3 linked regions of the Arabidopsis thaliana genome follow. The protein of the gene in region 1 interacts with the protein of each later gene in a pairwise test. Each region holds a gene or a part of one and is shown in the gene's direction. Other genes may lie near its edges. The genes, in order: CSLC04, MUR3 and AT4G21060.

Region 1 (5,974 bases):
TTTTATGTTCGTAAAATAGAAACTTCCCATGTGATTTTCTTCTCTCACCGCCGGTTACGGTTATTGTCTTTTTCTTAGACTTGAAAATATTAAATCTTTTTGTTATGGAATTTTACTACACAGCTTGTATTCATATAGTTTTGGGTTAATAGTTAAAACATAAAACATATATCGTGATTATAGTTTACTCACATTTTACATGTTGTTACACTGTCGATATCTATCAAATATATTACTGTTGTAATTTCTTTTCAAAAATACTGTTCTAATTTAATCCTGCATCCAACAAACTTTTTGACCAGAGAGAACCAATATATATATCAGTATGTCTATAAAAAAATATGATAATTGTGAAAATGAGATCCATATTTTTGATTATATATATAAGTGAAATAGATTTGATTTGATTTACTTTGCAACGTCTTGTGACACAAGCATGACATAATCGAACCCATCTAACAATAACATGCAGTATATCGTTGAGCTTCTAGCAAAATCAACAAAAATCTAAAATCTTTTAGTAAAATAATATTAAACCTTTTATCATTAAGAATTTTTTTAAAATTAACAATAAACCCATGACATTTGTCTAATCTGCCATAGAGTTGAGGTGGGACTTCTAACATGCTCTATTATCTCTTGTACTCCGTTGATCATCGATGATAAATCACAAGCTAAATGTTTGTGAATAAGTGAAAATTTATCTTGGAAATGAAAAATTATCCAAATCAAAGGGTTACAGTAACTGGATAATTCATTTAACACTTTGAATCAACAAGATCAAATAAAAAAAGTTGGAAGACAGTGAAGCGACAACATAGTCCATTACTTTGAGTTAAAGTAATATTATAATTTAGTAAAGTTGATCTAATTACATTTTTATAAGTTTAATCTGGTCATCGCTGGACCAAGTTGTCATCCTCCAAATTCCTTACCAATCATACAAATTGATTTTTGGCCTTTTCTTGGAATCATCTCTTTTTTTTCTTTGTGTTTTTCTTCTCATTCATTTTGTTTTTCTTTAATACACACACATGCATGTATAAACGCAGTTTTATGACTGGACATATCGCGTAAGATCCATAAGCCAATAGCTTTTTTTAAGTAAAGTATTTTCATTTTATGGGTATAATTATAAAGATGTAAATTTCCCCAAAATAATATAAACAGCAGTCTCTCTCCTACTTAATCAAATCACTAGACGCGGATTTGCTTAACAAAGTAACTTTAAACCAAATCGTTCCACCTAAAAGGCTAAAACCATTAGGATTGATTTTGGTCAAAAAAATCGGTTACTATTTTTTAATTTACTTAGAAGACTGGCAAAAAAAAATGATTCCAAACTACTAACATATAAGATAAAATGTATTTAACATCAAATTAAAATTTTCACGTTAACTAATATAAAAAAATGATATGAAAGAAAACCCAACTAATCTTTGATTATATGCGTTAGCCTTCTTCATTAGCCTTCTTTAAATACTAGATTAGTACTTGATAAACTTTTATTGTCTATACAATATATCAAAAAAAATGCCTCTAAATTAACTACATAAATTAGTAATTTCTGAAAATTAATAAAAAAAACACGTAACCATAACTTCCGAGTATGTTTACTTTAATAATTTTCACGGGATTCTGAACTCTAAATAAAGATTGATTGATAAAAAAATATTAAAATAAAATTCACGGGATTTACAAATTAGTTATCATTTGAATCATTTGTTATAGAATCTAAAATAAAATAGTAAATTGATCATATAGTAAGAAATCAAATTTTCTTTTTTTGTCATAAATAAATATAATTTGTTCTTTAGTTATGCACGCTGGAAATAGATCCCACTAATAAAAATTGGACTTTTCAAACAAAGAAAATAATTAAATAAAATCTTCCTTTACAAAAACAAAAGAGGAAAATTCAAAGAAAGGAGAACTCTCTTCTTCTTCTTCTTCTTCTCCTCTCCTCTTTATTTACTTAGTTGGTTCACTTCAGCACATGATCCTCGTCTCTCTTTCTTTCTCTCTCTCAATCACAAGTTTCAGTTACACAGCTGAACCCAAAGTATCTCACATTCTGATCTAATCAGAACACTGTTTTGTCTGTGTAACATAAACAAACGATCCTGTTTTTATGGAAAATTTAATGAAACAGTGACGATTCTTCTACACTTCTTTATAATGACAAACATTTCATAGTACCAAAATACACAAATACCTTTTCTTTATTCTTCTCACCCTTCTCTGTTTCTTTATCATTCATGGCTCCAAATTCAGTAGCAGTGACAATGGAGAAGCCAGACAACTTCTCTTTACTAGAGATCAACGGCTCAGATCCATCCTCATTCCCCGACAAACGTAAATCCATCAGTCCAAAACAATTCTCATGGTTCCTTCTTCTCAAAGCTCATAGACTCATCTCGTGTCTCTCGTGGCTAGTCTCTTCGGTTAAAAAGCGAATCGCGTTCTCCGCGAAGAACATTAACGAAGAAGAAGATCCTAAAAGCAGAGGAAAACAAATGTACAGATTCATCAAAGCTTGTCTTGTCATCTCCATTATTGCCTTGTCCATAGAAATCGTTGCACATTTCAAGAAATGGAATCTTGATCTCATTAACCGACCGTCTTGGGAGGTTTACGGGCTTGTCGAATGGTCGTACATGGCTTGGCTCTCGTTTCGATCCGATTACATCGCTCCTCTTGTCATCAGTCTCTCCAGATTCTGCACTGTACTCTTTTTGATTCAGTCTCTTGATCGGTTAGTCCTCTGTCTCGGTTGCTTTTGGATCAAATTTAAAAAGATCGAACCTAAGCTCACCGAAGAATCTATCGATTTAGAAGACCCCTCCAGTTTCCCAATGGTCCTTATTCAGATCCCAATGTGCAACGAACGAGAGGTAAACTATAAACACTCTGTTTTTACTCTGTTTTCACTTTGGTTTTACTCTGTGTTGCTCTGTTTTTACTCTGTTTTTATTCTGTTTTATGTTCTGTTTTCTCTTACATAGTATAATTGTTATGTTTTGTTTTCTTCTAGGTGTATGAACAATCAATAGGAGCAGCTTCACAACTTGATTGGCCAAAAGATAGGATCTTAATTCAAGTATTAGATGATTCAGACGATCCAAATTTACAGCTTTTGATCAAAGAAGAAGTATCGGTTTGGGCCGAAAAAGGCGTAAACATAATTTACAGGCATAGGTTGATCAGAACTGGTTACAAAGCTGGCAATTTGAAATCAGCCATGACTTGTGATTACGTTAAAGATTACGAGTTTGTGACTATCTTCGACGCAGATTTCACACCAAATCCTGATTTCCTCAAGAAGACTGTTCCTCATTTCAAGGTAAGAACACAATCTCTTTATTCCCAAACTTATAAAAGGAAACTTCTTTCTTGACGTTTCGTAATTTACGATGAATGTTTTAGAGAAATTCACTGGAAAAAGATTTGTTTCTTTTTTACACTTTTTTGATAGAAAATATTTTTTTGATTATACTCATCACCGACAGTTGTCTTTGCTGGTTTTATCTATTTTTCGGTGGATCATGTTCTAAGTAACCGACAAATTTTTATATTGTTTTTTGTATTTTTGGTTTTATGTTAGGAAAATCCAATTTGGTAATTTGTTATGTATGAAATCGAAGTAACCGACAAATATGAAATTACAAAACTCATGACTTCTTTGGTTGATTTTTCTAACATGACAAGTCTTCAAATTCAATCTAGTTGAAGCTAATCTTGATTCTGTTTGATTCCGGGTTTCAATTATTCCTTTGTTTTTACATTTACATATTATAATAATAATTGTTTTATAAGTTATTGTTTTGTGAAAAATCGAAATTCTATTATTTTATTTTTATGTACCCCACCTAAAGAGCATATCTTATTTTTCATGTGGGTTGTTGGAGTCGAACTCAAGATGACTGAGACCGGAATTTTTAAGTAGACTAGTCAATAGATTTTGTTAAAATGTAAAAGTATATTCATGTGGAAGTTTACATTTATGCAAACATTTTTGAATATCAAGATTCTTACGAGTGTTGTGTTGTTTGTTTGCACAGGGTAATCCAGAGCTAGGGTTGGTCCAAGCAAGGTGGTCATTTGTGAACAAAGATGAGAATCTCCTCACGAGGCTACAAAACATAAACTTATGTTTCCACTTCGAAGTAGAACAACAAGTGAACGGTGTGTTTCTCAATTTCTTCGGATTCAATGGAACCGCTGGAGTATGGAGGATCAAGGCATTGGAAGAATCCGGCGGATGGCTCGAGAGAACCACCGTGGAAGATATGGATATCGCGGTTAGAGCGCATCTCAACGGCTGGAAGTTTATTTACCTTAATGATGTTGAAGTCACTTGCGAGTTGCCAGAGTCTTATGAAGCTTACAAGAAGCAACAACATCGTTGGCATTCCGGTCCTATGCAGCTGTTCCGGTTATGCCTTCCTTCAATTATCAAATCAAAGGTAAAAGTTTATTTCTACAACTAGTGATAGTAGTTAAACATCATTACATATACTCATTGTTTGTTTTTGTGTTTGTAGATATCGGTTTGGAAGAAGGCGAATTTGATCTTCCTTTTCTTTCTTCTAAGGAAGCTTATTCTACCATTTTACTCATTCACACTCTTTTGCATTATACTTCCATTGACAATGTTCATACCCGAAGCCGAGCTTCCGTTGTGGATCATCTGCTATGTTCCTATCTTCATTTCGCTTCTCAACATTCTCCCGTCACCTAAATCTTTCCCTTTCTTAGTCCCTTACCTTCTTTTCGAAAACACAATGTCAATAACCAAGTTCAACGCCATGATCTCCGGGCTGTTTCAGTTTGGATCGGCTTACGAGTGGGTTGTGACGAAGAAAACCGGGAGATCATCGGAGTCCGATTTGCTAGCGTTTGCTGAAAAGGAAGAGAAGTTGCATAGGAGAAACTCGGAGTCAGGTTTGGAGCTTCTGAGCAAACTTAAGGAGCAAGAGACAAATCTTGTAGGGCAAGAAACCGTGAAGAAGAGCCTTGGAGGGCTAATGAGGCCGAAGAACAAGAAGAAGACGAACATGGTGTTCAAGAAAGAGCTCGGGCTTGCGTTCTTGCTGCTAACCGCAGCTGCAAGGAGCTTTCTATCGGCGCACGGTCTTCACTTCTACTTTTTGTTGTTTCAGGGACTGTCTTTCTTGGTTGTAGGGTTGGATTTGATCGGAGAACAGATCAGCTAGACACACACAAAACCAAGACAGAGAACAAGGAAAAAAATACCGTTTATATTCACTATTTTTTTGTTTGTTTTTTAAATTCTTTTCCCTTTTTATATGTGGGTTTTATACATAATTTTCAAGAACTTATAATGTCCAGTTTCAGATAAATGAATTGAAACGAATTTGTTATATGATTTTGGCTTAACTTTAAAAAATCATAGCTCTTAGATGTTTTGTTTGGATAAATATTCAACAGTATTTCAATCACAATTACTCAATCACATTACCTCTAATAGAAAATATTTTTGTCTTCTCAACTTTGATTTGATTACCATAGCATTTGTGGACAGAATGAATGGAACTACAAACTATTCTCATTAGTGGAAAGATTACAAATGATAATTTGTCTAGTCATAGTTTAATTTGTCTCGGAAAAATACTCAAAAGAAGTGTAGATAGAGATCAGATTAGTTATCTATATATACATTTTTGTAGACGTTTTTGAAGATAATGTTGAAGATTTGAGCCATAATTCAACAATTAATTCAAATGGGTGGGTATAACCCGGTTTAACTCTGTTCGGATCTTGGATAACATGTTTAATTCTGTTCTGATCTTGGATAACATTAATTTTTGGAAAAGTTACCTAAAAACTAATAATTAAAAACAAAAATTAATGATTTAATTACCAAATTTAATATAAACAATATCTCTAAACTAACCATATTTGTTATTTACTTTAACTATTTTCCTAAAATATTTCTACCTAATTTAAACAT
Region 2 (4,924 bases), on another chromosome or scaffold:
CCATATAGATGACGTTAAAATGACCCGCGACGATACCATATCTAGACAGAAGGAGATGACCTTGATTAAGGTTGGGTTATGTTTGGTCTGTCTTTTTAACATGTTTCTAGTATTCATTCTCTTCCTCTCCTCTTGGTTCCGGAAGGAAAGTGGTTCCGTATAGATCTCCCCATCAACCGATGATCATGCTAAGAAGTAAGAACGATCTCGCCTATAATTGTTTCCTCGATTTAGTTATACTTATCTATGTCCTAATTTGTAGATTATTCCAGAAAGTTCCTATCTATAACAGTCAAAAACACACCATATGTTGTCTTAATTCATATCATTCCAGATTAAATCGAAGATTAATGCTATAGTCCAATCATATAAACTATGTAGTAGTCTAGTGGGACAAACGACGTGACGATATCAAGAGGGTACAGGATTAAAAGCTATGAAGTACGTTACCAATTACAATCTCAAGATTCTCAACCACCGGATTATAACTACAAGTACCGATTTGGCGATTTGACGAATACAGATCTATCAATTAGCTAGAAATTTTCTTTCCATGCATTTTCCCACCCTCCCATTAGATGATGATGATTAGAAGACCACGATCTCATTGGTGTTCACTGATTCAAGAGCATTTCAAGAGAATATAATTCTTAATTATGAATTTGTTCAATAATTAATCCCCACCCCACTTTTCCAAATCACCCTTACATGTTCACCAATTGTAACAAATAATTAAAGAATCAAAAGTGATTTCTTTTTTAATACTTATTGTTGGGAAATACTTAATGCTAGTCCATAACTCTCTTCAATTATTTAAAGGAGGAGTAAGTAAGTTTTTTTGCAAGTCCTTTTGTGGTATCCATGTGAGTTATACATTGGGGAGCACAAACTTCCCCACTCCCACAAGCCACGTTTGTCGCTTAAAGTTTCTAAGTTTTTTTAATTTTCGCTCTTTTTGGTTTGTTATTTATGAGTGTATGGAAGTGGAGTCTCCCCCTTGAACACTTCAACATTTACACTACTAATCCCGACTTAGACGACAAACATTTTTTCTAAGTTCGAATGTAATTCTCCTAATTCGCTTTGACCTGTTTTTGAATTTTATACTATTCAATTTTAATTTAGATATTTATCTACTTTAGACTTGTAGAAAATTGTTTTCAATACGAGCATATTTATTACCTACTATGGAACCATTTACGGATTTACCACCATAAATTAGACACCAGTATTCATATAAACTATCTCTAATTTTGAATTTAAACAAACGAAAACAAAACTTAAATCTTCAACTGGCTAACAAAATTTTACTCATCAATAAAACAAAGCAGTGCATTTTGTTTTGCATTCTAATGTCTCTTTTCTCTTATTCGACCTACATCAATAGTTTCATACAAACAAAGTCATTTTGGAGCATTTTTGGTCTTTGTTTAGACTTAATTATTTATGTAATTAGGTTTGCAAAAAGGCTAGTCATCTGCTTTATGCTTACTGTCAATCCGTCATCATTAGTTGGACATCATGCACGAGATTTGGTCTCAACAAAAATATTAACCTATTTCTACACAACATTCAAACTAAGGCAGTCAAAACTTATGTACTTATTGAAATACTAATTGATTAGCAGAGAGACGTTAAACAATGAGCTTGAACTTGAAGTAATCATGTTACAACGTGTTTTGGTTCATGCTTAGTGCTTACCATCAAATTCTGCGATTTGTGTTATTTCCAACGTATAGCATGCTACAAACCACTCACATGATTACACATGGAATCGTACCCACACGCTCGTCGAAATCGCACGTTACGCGCGAAACTGAGTCAAAGAGGTTTATATCTGACGTCATCGACACTTGAAACCGACATGTTTTCACACGTGGCAAGGTCCCACTGGTCACCGACAACTACAAGAAAAAACTGCCGGCGCAGATTTAGCCGTCCGACTAACGTGCGCTTTCAATTACATTATACAGAAGTCTCTCTTTCTTTCATTGACGGTGATGAAGACCAGCTCAAAGCCAGGTCAAAATCCATCAATCCTGGCCTCATCAATGTTAAAAATCTTTACTTTCACACATCTCTAGATCTTCCATAGAAGGATCAATCAAAAGCTGTAATCTTTCTTTCTTCCTCGTAGCTCCTTCTCTTGCGGATCCTTGTCGGTACACTTCTACATTCTCAAATCTGATTCCTTTCTGGAGTTGCTCCTGAGCTACGGTTCAGCTTCAATTACTTCGATCTCGTGTAAAAATCACTTCTAGAAGCTTTGATAAGCTTTGATAGGAGTTGGTTTTACTCTTTAGGGTTTTGTTTGAGTTTGATCTTTATTGTATAGATGTTGTGATCTTCGTACACTCTATATATGTTTCCAAGGGTTTCTATGAGGCGTCGCTCTGCTGAAGTTTCTCCTACAGAGCCAATGGAGAAGGGAAATGGAAAAAATCAGACTAATCGAATCTGTTTGTTGGTTGCTTTGTCACTCTTTTTCTGGGCATTGTTGTTGTACTTCCATTTTGTTGTCTTAGGGACTAGTAACATTGATAAACAGCTCCAATTGCAACCTAGTTATGCTCAATCTCAGCCATCATCAGTCTCTCTTCGTGTTGATAAATTCCCTATAGAGCCTCATGCAGCTCCATCGAAACCACCTCCCAAAGAGCCTTTAGTTACTATCGATAAGCCAATACTCCCTCCTGCACCAGTAGCCAATTCTAGTTCCACCTTTAAGCCACCTAGAATTGTTGAGAGCGGGAAGAAACAGGAGTTTTCGTTTATAAGAGCCTTGAAGACAGTAGACAACAAGAGTGACCCTTGTGGAGGGAAGTACATTTATGTTCACAATCTACCCTCAAAGTTCAATGAGGATATGCTTAGAGACTGTAAGAAGCTTAGTCTCTGGACTAACATGTGTAAGTTCACAACCAATGCTGGCCTTGGGCCGCCGCTTGAGAATGTTGAAGGTGTCTTCTCTGATGAAGGTTGGTATGCGACTAATCAGTTTGCTGTTGATGTGATATTCAGCAACCGGATGAAGCAGTACAAATGTTTGACAAATGATTCTTCCCTTGCTGCTGCCATCTTTGTGCCGTTCTATGCTGGATTCGACATTGCTAGGTATCTGTGGGGATACAATATCTCGAGAAGGGATGCTGCTTCGCTTGAGTTGGTCGATTGGCTCATGAAGCGGCCTGAGTGGGATATAATGAGGGGAAAAGATCATTTCCTTGTGGCGGGTAGGATAACGTGGGATTTTAGGAGATTGTCTGAAGAAGAAACTGATTGGGGCAACAAGCTTCTCTTCTTACCGGCTGCCAAGAACATGTCTATGCTTGTGGTTGAGTCGAGCCCATGGAATGCTAATGATTTTGGGATCCCGTACCCAACCTACTTCCACCCAGCAAAGGACTCAGAGGTTTTTGAATGGCAAGACCGGATGAGAAACCTGGAAAGGAAGTGGCTTTTCTCGTTTGCAGGAGCCCCACGACCTGACAATCCGAAATCTATCAGAGGGCAGATCATTGATCAATGTCGAAACTCAAATGTTGGCAAATTATTAGAATGCGATTTTGGGGAGAGCAAATGCCATGCACCAAGCAGCATTATGCAAATGTTTCAAAGCTCTCTCTTCTGCCTGCAGCCACAGGGAGACTCTTACACCCGAAGATCGGCATTTGACTCAATGCTTGCCGGTTGTATACCGGTCTTCTTCCATCCGGGTTCAGCCTACACGCAATACACGTGGCATCTACCCAAGAACTACACAACCTACTCGGTATTCATCCCCGAGGATGATGTTCGGAAGAGAAACATAAGCATCGAGGAGCGACTCCTCCAGATTCCAGCCAAGCAGGTCAAGATAATGAGAGAGAATGTCATCAACCTCATCCCAAGGCTGATCTACGCAGACCCGAGATCAGAACTGGAGACGCAGAAAGATGCATTTGATGTCTCGGTACAGGCTGTGATAGACAAGGTGACTCGGTTAAGGAAGAACATGATCGAGGGCCGAACCGAGTATGACTACTTCGTGGAGGAGAACAGCTGGAAGTATGCGTTGCTGGAGGAAGGCCAACGGGAAGCAGGGGGCCATGTGTGGGACCCGTTCTTCTCCAAACCAAAGCCCGGAGAAGATGGCAGCAGCGATGGTAATGGAGGCACGACTATTTCAGCAGATGCAGCTAAGAATTCATGGAAGAGTGAGCAGAGAGATAAGACACAGTGAAAAGAGACAGAAACCACATTTTGTTACGGTTTTGATATAGTTTTCGGTTACTATTTATACGGACAAAAAATGATTTATTTTTGTTGTATTGGTATCAAATGTAGTTTCTCCAGTTTCATAGAGATAAGTTTGTTTGTATCAGTTACCCACAGAAATTAATAATAAGAAGTGACCCTTTTCAAGTTTCTAACTGAAGACAGTGCCTATGTTTAATTTCGTTTGCATTTGACATTTTGCATTTGCAACACATATTCAGAACTAAAAACGGACATTACCCGCTAGTCTCATGCATCATTCATCAAACAGTAGCAGACCGAGTTTGTCATCAAAGGGTTAATCAAAGAGACAGACAAGTCCCGAAATAAGCTTAATCATCTACAAGCAAGTCAATGCCAGATATTTATAAGCAAAAACAATGTCAGGCACTAAAATAACTCACTAAATAAGCTTAAACCATCATCCTACAAAGCAAGTGACTGCAGATCATATTTATAAGCAAAAACAATGTCAGGCACTAAAAGAAAAAGAACTCACTAAATAAGCTTAAACCATCATCCTACAAAGCAAGTGACTGCAGATCATATTTATAAGCGCTCAAACCTGTCAAACAGTAGCAGATTTAGCCCCAACGAATTGGTAATACTTAGGGACTCTAAGAACTGCATCGAACCACTCGATCTTCCCCCAAATCTCTTTCTTGCT
Region 3 (6,335 bases), on another chromosome or scaffold:
CGGAAGTTAATGTTCCAGTCCATCGTTTCTACTTCTTTTTTTTTTATTAGTTTCGTTTATGCATGGTTTATGTTGGGTCTTTTTTTAGTTATAAAAGTTTGCATCTTTGTTTAAGTCCCAAAATATTCAGACATAAGTTGTTTAATTCCCAATTTCTTTGATGCTTGTAATTTTTTTTTTAATCTCGCGAAAGCAAAATTTTAGGCTGATGCCTTGGCAAAAGAGGTCTCCTCGCTTGTATGAACTCAATTCTCTAAATCGAATGAAAACAAGGTTGTCCAAAAAAAAAGAAAGTTGTTTGATCCTTTTTCCTTTTTATATATACAATAAGAACTAGAGATATTTCTCGAACAATCTCAACACGAGTTCGATTTCCGTTGTGAGAATTAATTGATTAAACCTTAGTCTCGATTGTGAAATGTTCAGAATTAAATATTATCAATATTAATTCTCCAAAAGAAATCCTAAAATGTTAGTAGCCAACTATAAAGTAGATATGTGAACCAAAAGAAATTGAGATTATTTATTAAATATATGACGAATCAACAATGATGTAATTAATACTTAGAAATTCGTTGAAATCTATGTTTTAATTAATACAACATTTATAGTCTTTAATGAATTTCTAGATTTTAAAATTTTAATTAATTATTGAAAAATGTGTTTCTTAATAAATAATTTTATTTTATAGGTAATTATGACTATATGGTTAAAGACCTAATAAAAACATAAATGAATAGTTACAACTTGCTCTCTCAGATTTTCGAGAGCCAAAACGGCCACTTTCATAGACAAAATCTTAATGAAATTAAAGAAAATCTGATATAACAAGGACATTGACAAAACGTCCAGATTGTGTTAGTATAGACGTGGATTATCATAAGACCGCCGGTTAATGCAAGGGAAAAAGCTAGATTTTGTCAGTCATCGATTCCGACAGAGATAGAGATGAGGTCTTCCACAAGGAATTTGAAACGTGCTCACTCTTTCCTTTTTATAATAAGCTTTCTTAACTTCATTATCCCTATCGTTTTCAAAAGTTGGCAAATGCATTATCACCATATAGTGAATTAGCTATATGGTTACATGAATTTTTTGAGTGAATTAACTAACCATACTGCATTTCCTTCTAATTTTTGTTTACCTCCGTTTCATTATATACTGTTTTAAAATATTTTTAACTTTTAATTATATCGTTATGAAATACACTTATAAGGGTTTTTTTTTTCTATTGAATAAGCTGAAATAATAACAATAAAAATGATTACGATCGTAAATTTGGTGTAATTTCTATGTAATGCTTTTAAATTTTTGAGACAAAATAAATTGATCGCGACAAAACAAATAAAGACTTACACTACACGTGTCTATACATTAAATAGCAAAAGCTATTGACGGTGCAAAACGTCAAAAACAAATGCCCTACGTCGCGGGTAATTAACAAACTCATCCACATATATATACGAGTTTCGTATCTCAAACATTTCATAAATCAAACCATCATATACCTCTCAAATCATTTCTTTGATTTCTATAAACACTATTCTTGTTAATGACTGACCATAAAAACAAATGGCTACTTCTCGTCTAGCTAGGTTTGTATCAGAGGTTGCTCCACCTCAATTTGTGACGGTTATGAGGAGGCATAGAGCAGCGAAGCAGAAGCTAGACACAATCAAAGAAGAAGAGAATAAAGAAGATTCTTTCAATGGTGGGATGGTGGTGATGATGAAGACATCTCATCAACATGTTTATTCACCTAATTCTTCTTATTCCTCTTCGTCTATTTCGGTTTCTATTTCCGGATCTAGCAGCTCTAAGAATTTTCGAAGCTCTTTTTCTGTCTTCGAAAACTAAGATCTACGTACTAATGTTGTATTTTTTAATGATCGGGTCGATATTTTTGTATGCACCCGTTTATATTATATAGTTCAGACCTTTTTATTTTTATTTAAAAGGTCTGATTAATAATACATGTTATACACTTATACCTTTTGGTTATCGTTTGTAATTTTCGATCGAAACCCCGTTTTAATAAGGATGTGTAGTTTTGAAGATACTTAGTTCGAAATAGTAAAAATGGAATGTTTTGCACATTTTCATAACAAACAAATATGTATGTTTAAAAGTTTTATTTTTATTTAATTATTCATTCCTAACATTTAACAAAATCTTTATAGATAAGAATATGTAATTTTGGAGATAAATAACAGAGAAATCAACGACTTTAAAAACCCTTGATTCGTTGTTCTTAGTGAGACTTTTGACTAAATTTATACACATGTGAATATTGTTAAGAATAGAGAGACCATTTGGTGGTTTTTAAAATTTAAAAAATGAAAAAAGGTTCCTTCCGATTTCTCAATTCATCTCCTGAGTGGGTTTTTCTCCTCTGTTTTATTTCTCTAATAGCCCTAGATTCAAGGAGATAAAACTGCTCAAATCAGGTGGAGATTTGCTCTGCTTCATTGGTTTTTTGTTTTGTTTGAGTTAGTGACTTTATCTATTTCTTCTTCGCCAAAAGACGAGATTTTTAAAACAAATTTCGTCTTTTTCAAATTCTCGTGTCAAATTGAGACATTTGGGTTGCTTTGATTGGATTTCGTAGACTCTATTGATCTTCAGATCGTGTCGAGATTTAGCTGCTATTGTGGGGTTTAGAATCCTTCTCTTTACCGGATTCTCAGGTTATAAATCTCCTTTACTTCTTTCAATGAAGTTGTTCGATGAATTGGCTACATTTTAGGTACTCCAGGTGCAGTTTTGTGGCACTAATTCGTCTTGTGAATCAACAAGTCGAGTGATTTTGATTGTGGAAGGTAGTAATTTTTAGTTGACCCTCACAATGAAAAGAGTAAAAAGCGAATCTTTTAGAGGAGTTTATAGTTCTAGGAGGTTCAAGTTGTCACATTTCTTACTAGCTATAGCAGGGTTTTACTTGGTTTTCTTAGCTTTTAAGTTCCCACATTTCATTGAGATGGTTGCTATGTTGAGTGGTGATACTGGTTTAGATGGGGCATTAAGTGATACTAGTTTAGATGTTAGTTTAAGCGGATCGTTACGTAATGACATGTTGAATAGGAAGCTAGAAGATGAAGATCATCAAAGTGGGCCTTCTACTACTCAGAAGGTGTCACCAGAAGAGAAGATTAATGGATCTAAACAGATTCAGCCACTTCTGTTTCGGTATGGTCGAATATCAGGAGAGGTCATGAGACGTAGGAATAGGACTATTCATATGTCACCTTTTGAAAGAATGGCAGATGAGGCTTGGATACTTGGATCCAAGGCTTGGGAAGATGTTGATAAGTTTGAGGTTGATAAGATCAACGAGAGTGCTTCTATATTCGAAGGAAAGGTGGAGTCATGTCCTTCTCAGATCTCAATGAATGGAGATGACTTGAATAAAGCCAATAGGATCATGTTGCTTCCCTGTGGTCTTGCTGCAGGATCTTCTATTACAATTCTTGGAACTCCACAGTATGCTCATAAAGAATCTGTTCCTCAGCGTTCGAGATTGACAAGAAGCTATGGAATGGTTTTGGTTTCACAATTTATGGTTGAGTTGCAAGGGCTGAAGACAGGGGACGGTGAATACCCCCCTAAGATTCTTCATTTGAACCCTAGGATCAAAGGTGATTGGAATCACCGACCAGTCATTGAACACAATACATGTTATAGGATGCAGTGGGGGGTTGCTCAAAGATGTGATGGTACTCCATCCAAGAAGGACGCAGACGTGCTTGGTAAGATTTTGAGCATCCATCATAAACTGTTGTTAGTTGCCGGAATGTAGCAAGTCCATGCTCAGAAGTCTAAGTTTGAATTACCTTAGCTTCTTTTTTATTGCTGTGTAGTTATGTTTCTTTTTGTTTTCTCTTCATCTAAGTAAATGTACTTTTCCAGTTGACGGATTCCGAAGATGTGAAAAGTGGACGCAGAATGACATAATTGACATGGTGGACTCAAAGGAATCAAAGACAACATCATGGTTCAAACGGTTTATAGGACGTGAACAAAAACCAGAAGTCACTTGGTCATTCCCTTTTGCGGAAGGCAAGGTCTTTGTCCTAACTTTGCGAGCTGGAATTGATGGTTTCCATATTAATGTTGGTGGAAGACATGTGTCTTCATTCCCTTATCGACCGGTATGTGATATCAGATGAGCATTCTACTTGTATATGGCTTTGGTCTCAGCACTCAATAGTATCATTTGTTCAAACCAAGAGGATTCATCTCGTCCATGTCTGATAACTTTGTAAAATATTTTGTGATGTCTGGCCTCTCAGGGATTTACCATAGAAGATGCCACAGGGCTGGCAGTTACAGGAGATGTTGATATTCATTCTATTCATGCTACTTCTCTTTCAACATCTCATCCGAGTTTCTCACCGCAGAAAGCTATAGAGTTTTCTTCAGAATGGAAAGCTCCTCCATTACCTGGCACTCCTTTTCGCCTTTTCATGGGTGTTCTCTCTGCAACTAACCATTTTTCAGAGCGCATGGCAGTGAGAAAGACATGGATGCAACATCCTTCTATTAAATCTTCAGATGTAGTAGCCCGATTCTTTGTTGCACTTGTAAGTTCTTACAATCTTTCCTTATTTTAAAGCATGATCTTTAAGAAGTTTAATACTGCAGGTCGATTTAATTGAAACATTGAGATGGAGATTTGCTGATTTGAAGTTCTTATGCTTTGGAATACTGAGCAGTTTATGTGTTTTTGTTGATTTGTTTTGTGTAGAATCCAAGAAAGGAAGTTAATGCAATGCTAAAGAAGGAGGCTGAATATTTTGGAGATATTGTGATTCTGCCCTTTATGGATCGATATGAGCTAGTGGTCCTTAAGACAATTGCCATTTGTGAATTTGGGGTATTGATCATTTCTCTCATGACTCCATATCTGTTTAAGTCTTTGAACAATCTCTGATAAGGATCAGTAAATGAACAGTTTCCCTCATTGTAGTTACTTTACACAAATCTAATTATGAGAGTCTGAATATCTTCCATTCAGGTCCAGAATGTGACAGCGCCATATATAATGAAGTGTGACGATGATACCTTCATCAGAGTGGAATCAATTTTGAAACAAATCGATGGAGTCTCTCCAGAAAAATCACTTTATATGGGGAATCTAAATCTTAGACATCGTCCTCTTAGAACTGGCAAGTGGACAGTTACATGGGAGGTACAATGGCTTCTGTTCTTTACCTGCATATAGTCTGTATGATTCAGAAATCAGAAGCAGCCTCAGATACTAAATTTTCTCTTATACTGTAACAGGAGTGGCCAGAAGCTGTGTATCCTCCTTATGCCAATGGACCCGGATACATAATCTCAAGCAACATTGCTAAATATATTGTTTCTCAGAATTCAAGACATAAGCTTAGGGTCTGACCCTTTATCATCGTCTTACGTTCATCTCCATCTTTTACTGTCATGAACATAAGAGTCTCCTAACATTTTCAAACTATTTCGACTTTGTTGTCACAGCTATTCAAGATGGAAGATGTGAGCATGGGATTGTGGGTGGAGCAATTCAACGCCTCTATGCAGCCTGTCGAATACTCACACAGCTGGAAATTTTGCCAATACGGATGCACACTGAACTATTACACTGCACATTATCAATCTCCGAGTCAAATGATGTGCCTGTGGGATAATTTGTTGAAAGGTCGACCACAATGTTGCAATTTCAGATGACCAAAACATAGCACTAGCCGGAAGATATTACAGGATTACAGATTTGGCACCACCTTAACCCATTTTGTAATTTTTCCTCTTTGGTGCTAGTTGCTTACATTTACACATTCAAGATAACAATCTCTTATTGTACATTGATTAGGATTTTGTCTAAGAAAGAGATTTACACTGATATCTAAACAAATTCTTTCAAAACGTCTTTGCCATAACACTATGGGGCTACCAAGAAAGAGAAGCCAAGGTCACTGTATTATACATTTATACTACTCTGCTGGTCTTTAAGTTCTTGAGTCATGTTATCAAGATTTTGGCTTTCATCAAGTCGCATTTCCTTAATCATCTGCATTTCTTGCGCTTCACTGAAAGATTTCCAGCTTTTGCAAGATGGGGAAATGGAAGAGGGCATCCACAAGATCCAGGTAGATGTCACTGAGTTGTTTTCTTCAGTGTTTGCCATAATCCTCATCCGGTAGATGTGACATACCCATAGAGACAACAAGTTTGGTTAGTATACAGATGAATTGATCAGAATCCTGATTGTATAAACAGAACATCTAAACATCAATCTTAAGAGTGTGCAGGTCAATAGCAGAAGCAACTGTAATGAAGAAAACTCGAAAGACGGATTGATT

Evidence for each region.
Region 2: the proteins of CSLC04 (region 1) and MUR3 come close enough for resonance energy transfer, tested with the Arabidopsis thaliana proteins (one study listed by BioGRID).
Region 3: the proteins of CSLC04 (region 1) and AT4G21060 come close enough for resonance energy transfer, tested with the Arabidopsis thaliana proteins (one study listed by BioGRID).

What each region holds. Positions count from the first base shown.
Region 1 is NC_003074.8:10,503,852-10,509,825, forward strand, and holds CSLC04 (Cellulose-synthase-like C4), read left to right. Parts: upstream 1-1,859; 5' UTR 1,860-2,258; coding exon 2,259-2,894; intron 2,895-3,034; coding exon 3,035-3,343; intron 3,344-4,061; coding exon 4,062-4,466; intron 4,467-4,544; coding exon 4,545-5,216; 3' UTR 5,217-5,414; downstream 5,415-5,974. UniProt on the Arabidopsis thaliana protein: Beta-1,4-glucan synthase rather involved in the synthesis of the xyloglucan backbone than cellulose. Seems to work simultaneously with xyloglucan 6-xylosyltransferase.
Region 2 is NC_003071.7:8,789,993-8,794,916, forward strand, and holds MUR3 (Exostosin family protein), read left to right. Parts: upstream 1-1,946; 5' UTR 1,947-2,362; coding exon 2,363-4,222; 3' UTR 4,223-4,409; downstream 4,410-4,924. Other genes in the region: AT2G20362 (uncharacterized protein), read left to right, coding at 1-163; AT2G20380 (Galactose oxidase/kelch repeat superfamily protein), read right to left, coding at 4,826-4,924. UniProt on the Arabidopsis thaliana protein: Involved in the attachment of the Gal residue on the third xylosyl unit within the XXXG core structure of xyloglucan, the principal glycan that interlaces the cellulose microfibrils in plant cell wall.
Region 3 is NC_003075.7:11,239,158-11,245,492, forward strand, and holds AT4G21060 (Galactosyltransferase family protein), read left to right. Parts: upstream 1-1,572; coding exon 1,573-1,749; intron 1,750-2,368; exon of another isoform or gene 2,369-2,608; coding exon 2,609-2,687; exon of another isoform or gene 2,688-2,845; coding exon of another isoform or gene 2,846-2,930; coding exon 2,931-3,746; intron 3,747-3,906; coding exon 3,907-4,148; intron 4,149-4,289; coding exon 4,290-4,580; intron 4,581-4,744; coding exon 4,745-4,873; intron 4,874-5,014; coding exon 5,015-5,188; intron 5,189-5,283; coding exon 5,284-5,391; intron 5,392-5,493; coding exon 5,494-5,703; downstream 5,704-6,335. UniProt on the Arabidopsis thaliana protein: Possesses hydroxyproline O-galactosyltransferase activity. Transfers galactose from UDP-galactose to hydroxyproline residues in the arabinogalactan proteins (AGPs). Is specific for AGPs containing non-contiguous peptidyl hydroxyproline residues.